3 linked regions of the Coturnix japonica genome follow. The main gene of each other region encodes a partner of the protein of the gene in region 2 in a complex. Links are inferred from orthologs where the notes say so. Each region holds a gene or a part of one and is shown on either strand. Other genes may lie near its edges. The genes, in order: B9D1, TCTN1 and TMEM237.

The links.
Region 1: TCTN1 (region 2) and B9D1 share a complex: the UniProt entries of both Homo sapiens proteins name them as parts of the tectonic-like complex. The link is inferred for Coturnix japonica from reciprocal best matches to the Homo sapiens genes TCTN1 and B9D1.
Region 3: TCTN1 (region 2) and TMEM237 share a complex: the UniProt entries of both Homo sapiens proteins name them as parts of the tectonic-like complex. The link is inferred for Coturnix japonica from reciprocal best matches to the Homo sapiens genes TCTN1 and TMEM237.

The regions. Positions count from the first base shown.
Region 1 is NC_029529.1:5,249,638-5,253,750, forward strand, and holds the start of B9D1 (B9 domain-containing protein 1), read right to left. Parts: upstream 2,838-4,113; 5' UTR 897-2,837; coding exon 810-896; intron 717-809; coding exon 648-716; intron 1-647. Other genes in the region: CACNA1H (voltage-dependent T-type calcium channel subunit alpha-1H), read right to left, coding at 3,201-4,113. UniProt on the Homo sapiens protein: Component of the tectonic-like complex, a complex localized at the transition zone of primary cilia and acting as a barrier that prevents diffusion of transmembrane proteins between the cilia and plasma membranes.
Region 2 is NC_029530.1:5,167,816-5,171,462, reverse strand, and holds part of TCTN1 (tectonic-1), read right to left. Parts: intron 3,193-3,647; coding exon 3,067-3,192; intron 2,688-3,066; coding exon 2,605-2,687; intron 2,263-2,604; coding exon 2,122-2,262; intron 1,818-2,121; coding exon 1,661-1,817; intron 920-1,660; coding exon 794-919; intron 458-793; coding exon 314-457; 3' UTR 313-313; intron 1-312. UniProt on the Homo sapiens protein: Component of the tectonic-like complex, a complex localized at the transition zone of primary cilia and acting as a barrier that prevents diffusion of transmembrane proteins between the cilia and plasma membranes.
Region 3 is NC_029522.1:9,998,789-10,002,928, forward strand, and holds the start of TMEM237 (transmembrane protein 237), read right to left. Parts: upstream 2,912-4,140; 5' UTR 2,869-2,911; coding exon 2,839-2,868; intron 2,771-2,838; exon of another isoform or gene 2,121-2,770; coding exon of another isoform or gene 2,103-2,120; intron 1,754-2,102; coding exon 1,722-1,753; intron 684-1,721; coding exon 673-683; intron 50-672; coding exon 1-49. UniProt on the Homo sapiens protein: Component of the transition zone in primary cilia. Required for ciliogenesis.

The sequences.
Region 1 (4,113 bases), on a different chromosome or scaffold from region 2:
GTGCAGATCGGTGTGACCCGATGTGAGCTCGTGTGAGCCGGTGTGAGTCGGTTGAGCCCGGTGTGAGCTCGGTGTGAGCTCGTGTGAGATGGTTGTGAGCCCGGGTGTGAGCTGGTGTGAGCCCGGTGTGGAGCCCGGTGTGAGCTCGGTGTGTGAGGCCCGTGTGAGCCGTGTGAGCGGTGTGCGCTCGGTGTGAGCCCGTGATGAGCCCGGTGTGAGCTCGGTGTGAGCTCGGTGTGAGCCCGGTGTGAGCTCGGTGTGAGCTCGGTGTGAGCCGGTGTGAGCTCGGTGTGAGCCCGGTGTGAGCTCGGTGTGAGCTCGGTGTGAGCCGGTGTCGAGCTCGGTGTGAGCCCGGTGTGAGCCGGTGTGAGCTTCGCTGTTGAGCCGGTGTGAGAAGGTGTGAGCTCGGTGTGAGCAGTCAGTTGTGAGCTGCGGTGGTGCACGCTCAGTGTGACTCCCGGTGTGAGCTTCGGTGGTGACCCGGTGGTGAGCAGGTGGAGCTAGGTGGTGAGCTCAGTGTGGAGCTCGGTTTGAGCTCGTGTCAGCCCGAGTGTGGAGCCGGTGTGAGCTCGGTGTGAGCCCGGTGTGAGCCCGGTGTGAGCTCGGTGTGAGCCCGGTGCTGCCGGGGGCACAAAACGAGGTCTCACCGCTGCGGGAACCCAGTCCTGGCCGTAGACGAAGCAGAACTTGCAGTAGAGGTCGTCGAACCCAGGGAACTGCAATGGAGAGGCTGTTAACGGGGCCGGGCCCGGCCCACACGGCACAGACCGGAGATGGGTTACGGGACCGAGGACCGAACAAGGCCTCACCTGCCCGCTCTCGATCTGCCCGTTGACGGCCACCATGAAGACGCTGGGGCTGCTGGCGGCCGCCATCTTGCCGGTGGCCGTTGCCATGAGGACGGACGGAGCGGCGGAAGGGACAAACTATGCGGGGAGGGGCCTCGGAGACCCCCCCCCCTCAAATTCGGGCGGCTCTTTCTAAAGAGCACGGGAAATGGCCGCTAGGTGATGCTGCAATGCAAGGAGATCGAGACAGGGCTGTCAGGGGGGAGAAAAGCTTCGGGTCGGGGGTCTCTGAGGCGCCCACCCCTCGTTATGTTGGGTAATTAATGGTGCTTTTCCAGAATCCCTCATTAAACCAACGGGAAGGAATAACTGCAATAATCCCCCCCTGGCTGCTGATTGCACAGAGCAGGCAGGTCCCTGGGGATGCTCACAAAGTCAAGCCAGGCTTCCAGTTTATACAGTTTAATACATGTGAAACAAGATACATTTCCTTTCGAGTAATGAATGCATAAACAACAGAAGATATACGTGGATGCATAAATATGAGGCGGCATGGAACGAACCAAAGGAGAACGGTTGCTTTAGTTCTTTCTGTTGGTTGGTTGATAGTTTTTCCCCTCCCCAATGTGTCTTTTTGCTGCTGGTGTTGCAGTGCTGGGGCTGATGATGCTCATGGTGTCAGTGCTCTGTGGTGAAGCTGATCCGAGCAGAGGGTCTGGCTGAGGAGTGGGGAAGGAGCAGGGAATAGAGGCTACGAATGGAAAATCAACCCCCAAAACTAAATAAATGTATATTAAAATATATTAAAACGGTGTTCACTTGAACTTAAAAGGCTCTGGAATGTGGTGGAGGAACGTCTATGTGGGTGTGGGTTCAGGTTGGATATTAGGAATAATTCCTCCTCTGAGATAGCGCTGATGCTGGCAGTGCTGCCCAGGGATGGGTTCACCACCCTGGGGGTGTTCAGAACAACAGGGGGACGTGGTTTGGTGTCACAGTGGGATGGGGTTGGGTTGGGGATCCGAGGGGCCTTTCCCAGCCTCACTGGAGCTGATTACCACTCTAAGAATGGAAGGGGTTATGGCCACCATTGCGACCTCACAGCCAGGAGGAGAACAGATCCCAGCCTGCTCACATGGACCGCCACCAACAGCTCTTTGCACCTCGACGTACTGCACCAACAACCTACTTCAAACTGCAGGCAACAAAATACATGTCTTAAATAATTCACTATTTATTCTGTGAATCTCTTCAGATTGAAATTTTTCCCTTTTATTGTTTCGCCTCTGTTTGTTGTTTGTTTGTGCAATGTGGGACACCTCGTTTGTGCGCGGTACTTCAGATTATTGCAGCGTTTAACCTGAATTTCTGTTAAAAAAGGAGGAAGAAAAAGAAAACGAGCGAAAGGATCATTGTACAGACGAGAAGAATGAATAACTTATTATTGCACTGGCTACAATTCAGTAGTGATTTGGTTCCTTGCTGTTGGTTAGGACACAACCTCTAAAGTACAAAGGGAAAATGAAAGGGGCGGCGGAAGGAGGAGCTGTGGGCTGATGGTGGCGGTATAGGGGGGAAAGGAGAGCAAAGGAAGAGCAGAAACATTTGGACAATGAAGGGCTGTAAGAATCAGTTCCACATAAAACCCAAAGAAACACCACCCGGTCGCGGAGTCACACGTAATGCAAAAAACCAGTATTGTTTCTCTATAAAAATATGTGCATTATGAAGAAGAAGAAGAAGTTTTTTGTGAGTATTTTTTCTTGTTTTTTTTTTTTTTCTTTTTTTTTCTATTTTTTTTTTCTCTTTTCTCCTCGTTTTGTATCTCACAAGTACATCGTTTCTATGTATATAATTGCTGATATACAGACAACGTACAGCTCCCATTCCCCAGGGCGCTCCCACGGCGTGTGACGTCTCTAAAAGTGCCTTGTAAAAAGTTGAGCATCTTTAAAAACAAAACAACAACAACAAAACAACAACAACAAAAAGAGCCCCCTTACCCCCCACCCCAACGACAAAGAGAACCCTCAGCCCCCATCCGCCTCCACCCGGATCAATGTGACCGAGGGCGCAGAGGACTGAGAGCCACCCCCCCCCCGACCACATCCACTTTGCCCCCTCTGAACCCCCACCCTGAAACCCGGCACCGTTTCATCCGTTTGTTTGGTTTCTTCTTAAATAATAATAATAATAATTAATAATAATAATATTTTTCTTCTTTTTTCTTTTTTTTTTAATGTTTTTTGTTTTTGTTTTTGTTTTTTTGCAAACCTCCACAGCGCTTAAGAAGAAGGGACTGCTTGAAAGGGAAAAACCAGAGTGTGGCCACGCGGCCGCGCAGCCCCTTCGGTGTCCAACCCCATGTCGGTGTCAAGCCCTTGAGACCCCCCGCACCCCCCTCCCAGACAGCTATACGGGCTCGTCGATGTCTTCTTCTGTCGCAACAGTCACCAAGTCCTGCATCCGGACGGGGCTCTTGGCCACGCTGAGCAGCTCTTTGCTTTTCTCACTGTTGCTCCGTTGAGTTTTTAAAGGCTCCGGCTTTCTCAGTTCGCAGTCCGGTGTGGATCGCCCACTGTCCAGCAGATCCGAGAGGCTGCTCAGGGAGCCGCCATCCGACTGCTCGAAGGAGAAGCCGGGGATGGCCAAGTGCTGTGCACGGCGCTCTGCTTTGCAGCCCGGCTCCCCTGGCTGCGCCTCCGCTGGCTCCAGGGGCTCTCGATATGCTGGGAACTCGCAGGATGGGGTCCTGCGGCGCAGCATGCTGTTCTCAGAGGGTTTGGTGCGTGAGGCCGCCCCGCCATCATCCTCCATGGGAGGATCTATAGAAATACAGGGCGGGCTCATCTTCTTCTTCCTCCTGGCTCCATGGATGTACTCGGACTCCGGTTGGATGTGGGCAGGGGAGCGCGGCTTTTCCTCGGTGCGCTCCTCGAAGCCACAGTCCCCATCGCGGACGGAGGGGCAGATCTCGATGGAGTGTCGCCTTTGGTCATCCGCCCAGCTGGGCTTGGTGAGGAAGCCCTTTGTATCAATGCTGTAAAACTTCTTCAAGTCCCTCTCCTTGCCGCTGCCTGCCACCAGGCTGCTTGTGCTGCAATTCTTCAGGGGCACCGGCGATGTGGCCGGCGAGACGAATGGTGATGTGGAGCAGCTCCCAGCCTCCGAGTGCTCCCCCCAGTCTTTGGCTGAGCTGTTAATGTGGCGAACCTCCTCGTCAGCCAAGTCGGAGGGCTCCAGGAGGCAGCCCTGGGGGGTTGGGGGGCTCTCGGTGGGACTGGGGACCCCGCGCTGGCTGCAGGGGTGTTTCTGAGTCAGTGAT
Region 2 (3,647 bases):
CATGCCACATGATTACTTTAATTAACAATTAGCTCTGCTGTTCACAGAATGATGAAGCCTAGTTTCCTATGGAGCTGTGCTCCTGCCATTTCTGCCTGCTTGCTGTGAGCCCCAGACCATTGGTCTGACCAGTAGCTCCGAGTGCCTTTTTTCTATTGGACAATTTTTAACTCCGCACACCTACAGTTTGGAAGAAACTGATGGGCCAACACAGTGCCTGGATAAACTTTGTTTCTTTAGGAAATTGATTAAAAATAGAAATGAGCTTTTTTTTTTTTTTTTTTTTACCTTTTTTTCATCTTGGGCACTTACCTTAGGCAAATGGGAAGAAAAAGTCATGTTGTAACTTGGCATTAATGGTGGGCCAAGCTTTATAGCCTGGTTCTGCAGGTGAAGAAACATCAGTGAAAACAACAGAACTTGTTATAGGAATAGTCCTTTCTCTTCCTTGAGGAAGCTGCAATGAGAATACAGATGGGCATTAGCCTTGCTCTTCCCCTTGTGTGACTGCTTTGTTTAAACTGGATTTTGGATTTTTGCTGTTATTTGTAATAAGATTTTTCCATGTGTAATTGCACATTTCTTTTCAGGGCTGATGTATAAATTTGACTGAAGTATGCTTTGGCAAGCAGCCCGCAGTCATGTTTGAGTTGGAGCAGAAACTGTTGGGTACAATACATTCTAATATGAAGTGTTATCTTTAGAGAGATTAACCAGGTCACTGTTGCACAGCTGATACCTAAGCAAAACAAGCCATTCCTTTTATCTGAAATCCTGTAATTTAATTACATACCTTCTTCAATGTAGTTGTAGTGGTTGTTGCTGTAACGTTTACTATTCTGGCTTGTGGATTAACTAGGGATCCGTATTTAGTCCACTTCACTTCTATTTCAAGTGCTACTGGTATTTGGCAGGAGCTCTGAAAAGTGTCAGAAATCCTCTCATTATCTGACTTGTACAGGAGTAACCACAGTATTTATTCATCTTATTAGATGAGCACAATGCCCCCCCCCCCCAAAAGCTCACTCCAGGTGGTCAGCAGAGCAGCTCAGCTGTGCCTGTGCCTTGGACTGCTGCCTGCACAGACAGCACAGCCTCAGCTTGGGGGTGTCCCTGAAATTTTTCCATAGGTGACAAACTGACTTCATAAGTGCACTTCAGGCAGGGCTGTTCTACCCGAGCAGTGCTGATGCTTAATGGCCGTGCTGAGCTGGCTCTCTTCAGCAAGAAGGCTTTCCTAATAGTGATGACATTTTAGTAATGCTGCTGGGACAGTAGAAAACCTTTAACTTTGCCAGGGCAGAAATCTGAAGCGTACAGACTTAAATATTTTTTGATTATTTCTTTTTTTTAACACTCGTGCTCCTGTTTATAGAAATCATCCACTGTTTAGATGCAAAAAAACCCATCTCTACATAAGCTTTAATTGAGGAGGTGCTGTCATTCAGCCCTCTCAAAGAGGCACAAATGCTCTCCTTACAGCAAGAGGGAAATACTCCTTGTTTCTGAGTATCCCAGGGAAACTGTCCTCCAAGTTTTTATTAATTTTTTTTTCTTGCACTTTTTTTCCTGTAGGTCTGAGAAACCTAAGCTGAGAACAGGTTCAGATCCCAGAACAGGGTATAGAAAGAGCAATAGTGGGGGGAGAGTTAATCTTTACCTGTTCTGAGGTGTGAAGGTGAGTTATTGGCACCCAGTCGAGCACGTTCTGGGCTTGAGAATTTCCAAATGAAGCCACATACTCAGGAAATCTTTGTCCCATCAGTAAATCTAGGAGGACCTGGGCCAAGGGCTGGCAATTCATAGCTGCTGTAATTCTTCCAGGGTGGGAGAAGGGGAGGAGAAAAGAGAGTTAAAGCAAAATCCATTGGTTTGGCATGGAAGTAATTTCTCCTTGCTCTCACGCACTGTTCAAGCCTTCCAGCTAAAGTTGCTAATGTGCACAATCTCTCCAAGAGAAGAGAGACCATTGTTAATTAAATGATATTTCTTATAATTAAATGCTTTATTCCCAATACTCTTACAGTGGTATGAATGTCCCAGGATGTGAACAGATCCTAGTGGAAAGGGTTACCATGGGGCTATAAAAGCACTGAATAATAAAAAAGTAAGTTCTCTTACCGTAACTTACAGCCTGATATCATGTTGTAACCAAATAACACTGGGATTCTGGCTTCTTGTGCTGTGAGACAATCCTGGTTGGCTGTACTTTGCAGAATAGTGAGCTGACCATATTTGTTAGTGCTCTGAATGATGCCTGATGTAATGTGCAGTTAAAGGGAAATTCAGTACTTGTGGATTACAAAGAAAGAATCTGTAGCGAGATCCTTAAGGTTCATCTAAAAATGCTGTACTAACCCAAGACTTTTAAACCATGATGAAGCACTAGAGCATGCAACAAAGACCTGAATCTACCTCACTAAGCAGTTCCAGGAGATTGCAGTGAGGATTGAGACGTTGGTCACTTCTAGAACATAGCCAAAAAGCATCCATTTACTTTCAGTAAATAACAGATTAAATGCATAAGGTGTTCATGCTAGAAAGTCTCAGGGAAGTTGGTCCAGAACAAGTGCTGAAAACAGAATTTCAATGGGGAAAGGATATCCTTGTGGCTTGAAGCCTGCTCTTACAGCCAGTCCAACAACATAACCAGGATTACCACTGAAAGGAACTGGATTTGTATTTACCTGCAATACAAATTTACAGTATTACTTCTTATCTTGTACCGAAGTATTTAGAAAATGCTGAAATGTTTCAGTGTTTTTCTGGTTATTAACTGCCTTGAACAGTAGTGAAGTTTTTCTATAAGATTGCAGCTGTTCTCTGATACTGGGACAGGCTTTGCTTTTGCTGGATACTCTTGTACAGAGCAACAAGGTGAGTCTTCTAAGCATCAAAAACAGACTTTGGAGACCCTTAATGCCCAGTTCTGAAATGCTGCCTCATCTGTGTAGCCAGGACATGTAACATTTTACCTTGCTGCTAACAATTGTTCTGATTCAAGTTTAATAAGTTTTGTAATTAAATGTCTTTCAACAAGTCATCCATAGCATCTGTAGCAGTTACCTGAGTAAAGCTGATTTCAAAGCTCTGTTGTATTGAAAGTGTTTCTTTGTTAACTGCTCCCAAGACAAAAGAAGCAGCTGCTTCTATTATTTCTCCTGCGTCTGTGTATGTAATATGATAACTCACCTGAAAATGAAACATTTTAGATATTAATTAGAACAAGTAGATAAGAGTATGGACCTACAAGAAAGGAATTTAAAACTATGTAAGTATTGTTTTCCTTCTTCCATGCTTAAGAAACGCTCAGCTACGTTGTAGAGATGTATTGTATCCTCAGCTGCAGTAAGAACAGGCCCAGAAAATAGAAGAAACTGAAGTTCAAAATTAAGCAGTATTTTCAATGCTTGTTATTTGCTCTATTTTGCCCATTGTTTCTGACCTCACAAGAGTGGGAGTTTTAAGCCCGTGAAAAAAGCTATAATGTGATCTGACAGACAAAGCCATAATATTTGCAAAGAAGTTTGTAGCCATGTGAGCATATTTAGGTGTAAAGGACGTGACTGTTACCAAATCAAGCCACTGTAAAGCAATATTCAGAAACAGATCTAGGTTTGGAGCCTCTTCAAAACTGGCTTCTTGAT
Region 3 (4,140 bases), on a different chromosome or scaffold from region 2:
GTCTTTCCTTTGGGCTTTCTTTTTTTGGGACGACTGAGTGGAATGTCATCTGCAGAACAGAAACAAAAGTCAATGTGCACAGCATGGAAAAACCTTCATTTCCCTTTTTTAACAACCATACCATTCCAAATTAAGAAAGAGTCCTTTTTAAAAGCAAGGACATATTTCAGCTTTTACAGATCAGGTGACAATTCACCAATGTTCAGAAACAGGAAAAGTACAGTAGATAGCAGGAAAGCAAAATAACTTATCTGTCTTACGTGTAACAGAGGCTAAATATACACATGCACATGTTAAGTGAAAACCTGAATGATACTCTGAAGAATAAACTTCAGAGAACTCTTCAGAACACAGTGACAACATTACAGTTGCCCTAACTCAGAACTAGCAATTAGTAAGAAGAACAAAAGATCAGATAGTTCTCACAACAACAGTCTGAATACCCATGATTGCATGCATTTAGGAAGAGTGTAAGGATCAATCCTTCAGTCCTTCTGGGCAGCTTGGTCTAGCAGTTGGCAACCCTACACATAGCAGGGGGGCTGAAACTAGATGATCACTGTGATCCTTTTCAACCCAGGCAATCCTATGATTCTATGATTCAAGAGAGGATAAAATGACACAAGAACTATATAGATGGTTACAACTCTCTCTGATGACAGAATAACTCACCCTGGTTTCCACTTCACGTTTAATGAGAAAAGGTGTTGAAGAGCAGCGCCAAAGGAGCAAAGGTAAGAAGAGAGTTAGTTTTTAATCAACTCACAACAGTGACATTCTCTCTACTTTTTCATTTCATTATTCCCCTTATTTCCATTCCCACGTTTATTTACTGGCAACTGTACACAAAAGGGTTAAGTGTACAAAGCAATCATCCAGACTCAACACTGTCCGTGACTGTGCAGTTTCTTGATTGGCCAGCTATAGATCAGATTAAAAGCGATAATCACCTGGTTAATTAAAACTTGCCTGACATGTAACAAACTAACAGAAGTTATGAAACATTACAACATACACATTACTAAAAATACACCTTTATATGTTGCCAATCATGAACATCACATTTGCCCTAAGGTACTTTGAAGGAATTCTGACATATCATGCCATAAAAATCCGTAGAATTGCTTTTCCTTCCACACTGCTCATTAAAATGCTGGAAAAAAGAAAAAAGCCCAGATTTCTCTGGATGCAGTCGGACTCGATGATCTATAAGGTCTTTCCCAGCCTAAGCAATTCTATGATTCCATATTATGTCAAACTGATAAACACCTGTGTCTCCATTTGATAACACCTAGCTTGATTTCAAAAATCCCTGTCCTGAAGGATTTGTGATTTAAACGTACCAAAGAATGTAGCAAAACAACAGCAACAAAGAGTTAAGGAAGAAGAAAGTGAAAAGAGAAACATCAGTAAAACTGATACAGATGCTAATAAAACTGAAGTTGATGTTTGTCTAAGACTTTAAAAGGTTTAATCTTCCTGAATATTAAAAGTGAGGTAAACTTCAATTAAAAATGAGTCAATTTCTCAGCCTCTAAAAACGTTAAATGCTTTATAATTCTTGTGAGGGATTCTAGAACAACAAAGCAGCAAGAAAAGCAAATGTTTAAAAAGCTACTGTGACTGTGCAGATACTCAAACTCATTTTCTTTCATTTCATTTCCTTTAAAAACACAGCAGTAGAGAACCACAATCAATCCTGTGGAACGAACTGATCTTACCTTGGCACTGGGGGGAGGGCACGTGGAGGGCGCTGAAACATAACGGAGAGACAGAAGTCAGCTTCTGACAGTGCAAAATCATCCCGAGGTCTGTTAAACCACTCCACAGAGAACAGCTGCTTTCAGAGGCAATAATAACTCACACTATCTATGTTATGCTTCTGAAACCAGGTTCTCATACACAACCAAATACATAAAGAGTAAGAAACACATATCTCCTATTGTCAATCTGAAATGCAGTTCTTGCACTGGATGATTTTGTATTATATAATAATACATAAGAAGTATAGCATTAAACATTTCCTACATTACAAGAACTCAGTTGATACCAACAACACAAAAGCCTGCCTGACCAGTAAAGCTCAAGGGCCCCCAACTTACCACTTGTTTTTTCCCCATATCATTGGAAGCAGTTCCCTGGAAGAGGCACTGTGAACAGTTCTCCACTCCTGACGTCGCTCACGCTGAACCTCTGCTAATTCTGAACTAAAAATAAGCTTCTGGCTGCCCGGATTAGCTGGCTGTAAACCTCCCTGCCCCTGGGCCAGTGCCCAGCACTATTCCTGCTAGAATCAATGGTGGTTTGCTCTGGCAGCAAAGCTTGTCCTAAATGGCACCTGCCCCAAACCCCATTGCTCTATGTGCTGGTAAAGGTTCAGGTGAGCTCTGCTCGGGGATTTTCACCTGCTAAGTGAGACTCGCCGCACGAGGAAGCTTAAAGCGAAGTTTAGCTCGGGGCTCATTATTGCCTTCATCATCGTTTGAGCGATAACTATCGTTAATTATCTAGGATATGGCAGAGATCTCCAGCCCTCAGCTGCAGCTGCCCATGGCCCGGAGGAGCACACCGCAGGCCACAGCAAGGGGGCGGCTGCACGAGATGGCCATTTGGAGACTCCATCCCCCGGTGCCGTTCGGTGAGCAGGGCCACGGGAACCCTCCGACGAGACACACCCACGGCCGCCCCAGCGGCACAACGGGGGCCGGCTCTTCAAACTCGAAGCCCCCCACCCACCGCCGCACCGAACCGCCGCCAACGCCCACAGCGCGGCCTAGGCCGGGGAAGGCTTTAGGCCCGGCCCCCCCCCCGCCCTTCTGGGAGCCCCGCCGCCCTCACCCGCTCGGGTCCCGCCCGCGGCTCCGCCATGCCGCCCCCGCCGCCGTCCCGAGCCCCGCAGGGAGGAGCCGCCGCTCGCTTCCGCCCCGCCCCGCCGCTACGGCCGCGCTCCTCGGCGGCACAGCCGGTATCCTCAGTGCGGCGACGGGGAAAGCGAGGCCTTGAACAGACCGGGATTCCGGCTTCGTTCGCCTCGTTATGAGTGACACTATTTGCAAATGAAGTGACAAGCTCTAAGTTAAAAGAAAATCAAACTGCAAAGGGAACGAACACCCGATGCTGTGCTTTTCTGGCAGCTGCTTTTCAATGTACATCCCGCTGCTGCGAGGGGCAAAGTACCAGCTCATGCACCAGCCCGGCTCCCGCTGCTTGTACTCACCCCATTCCAGGGCCATGCAGGGCTCTGCTTTCCAGTGTGTTTCCTGCCAAGGACCCCGCTCTGACTTCACTATAAGCTGGCACAGTGCTAGCTGCAAGAGCAGGCTTACTACATGAATAACTTCTTTATAGGCAGCGCAACCTCCTCCAGTAGATTTTCTCCAGGAGGAACCAGGCCGACAGGATAAGTTGTTTCCTCTGAGTCCAATAAACCTGTAATGTGAGATGAAGAGAGTGAGGAATTTGTTAGCCATAGTCACTGTACTCTTTGGTGAAGAGAACGTGCTGCCTTGACTCAAACCAATAAGAAAAGGGGCTTTGGATATGATTTTCCTCTATAATAAATCCATATTTTGTCAGTTTTCAGTCACTTGAGTTGATGGAATAAAAGCCAAGCCCTGCTAAAATACTGTGGCAGCCCAAGTGACCTCAGGTGTGCACCCACTGCTCACAACAACCACATATCGGTGTGCAATCAGCACTGCCTGGGCTGGTGTGGGACATGGAGGATGCAGTGCAGCACTAACTCAACTTAAAAACAAAACCAAAAAAACAACCAAACAAACAAAAAAACCAAACAAAGAATCATGAATGTTTTGGTATGTTTATGACTGCATTTTCAGTTGACACAAATGTATAACCTGTGAATTTCCAACAGCTGCAATCAGGCATTCACTCCAAAGAATAGTTTGGTCATCATATCTCTTTACCAGGCTTTTTTAAGCCCTCTCTTACCACATGCTGAGCTTCACAAAAACAAGAACACATCCCATTGGTTTGAGGTTTTCGTTACTCTTTAAAAAAAAAATAAAAATGTTTTAATAAAAACACTGGAACATTTGATTTCTTATACAGTAACTGTACTGCATATGTTATGAAGGCTGCTCTGAAAGTAACACCTGCTATTTCATTGTGCTGGCCCAC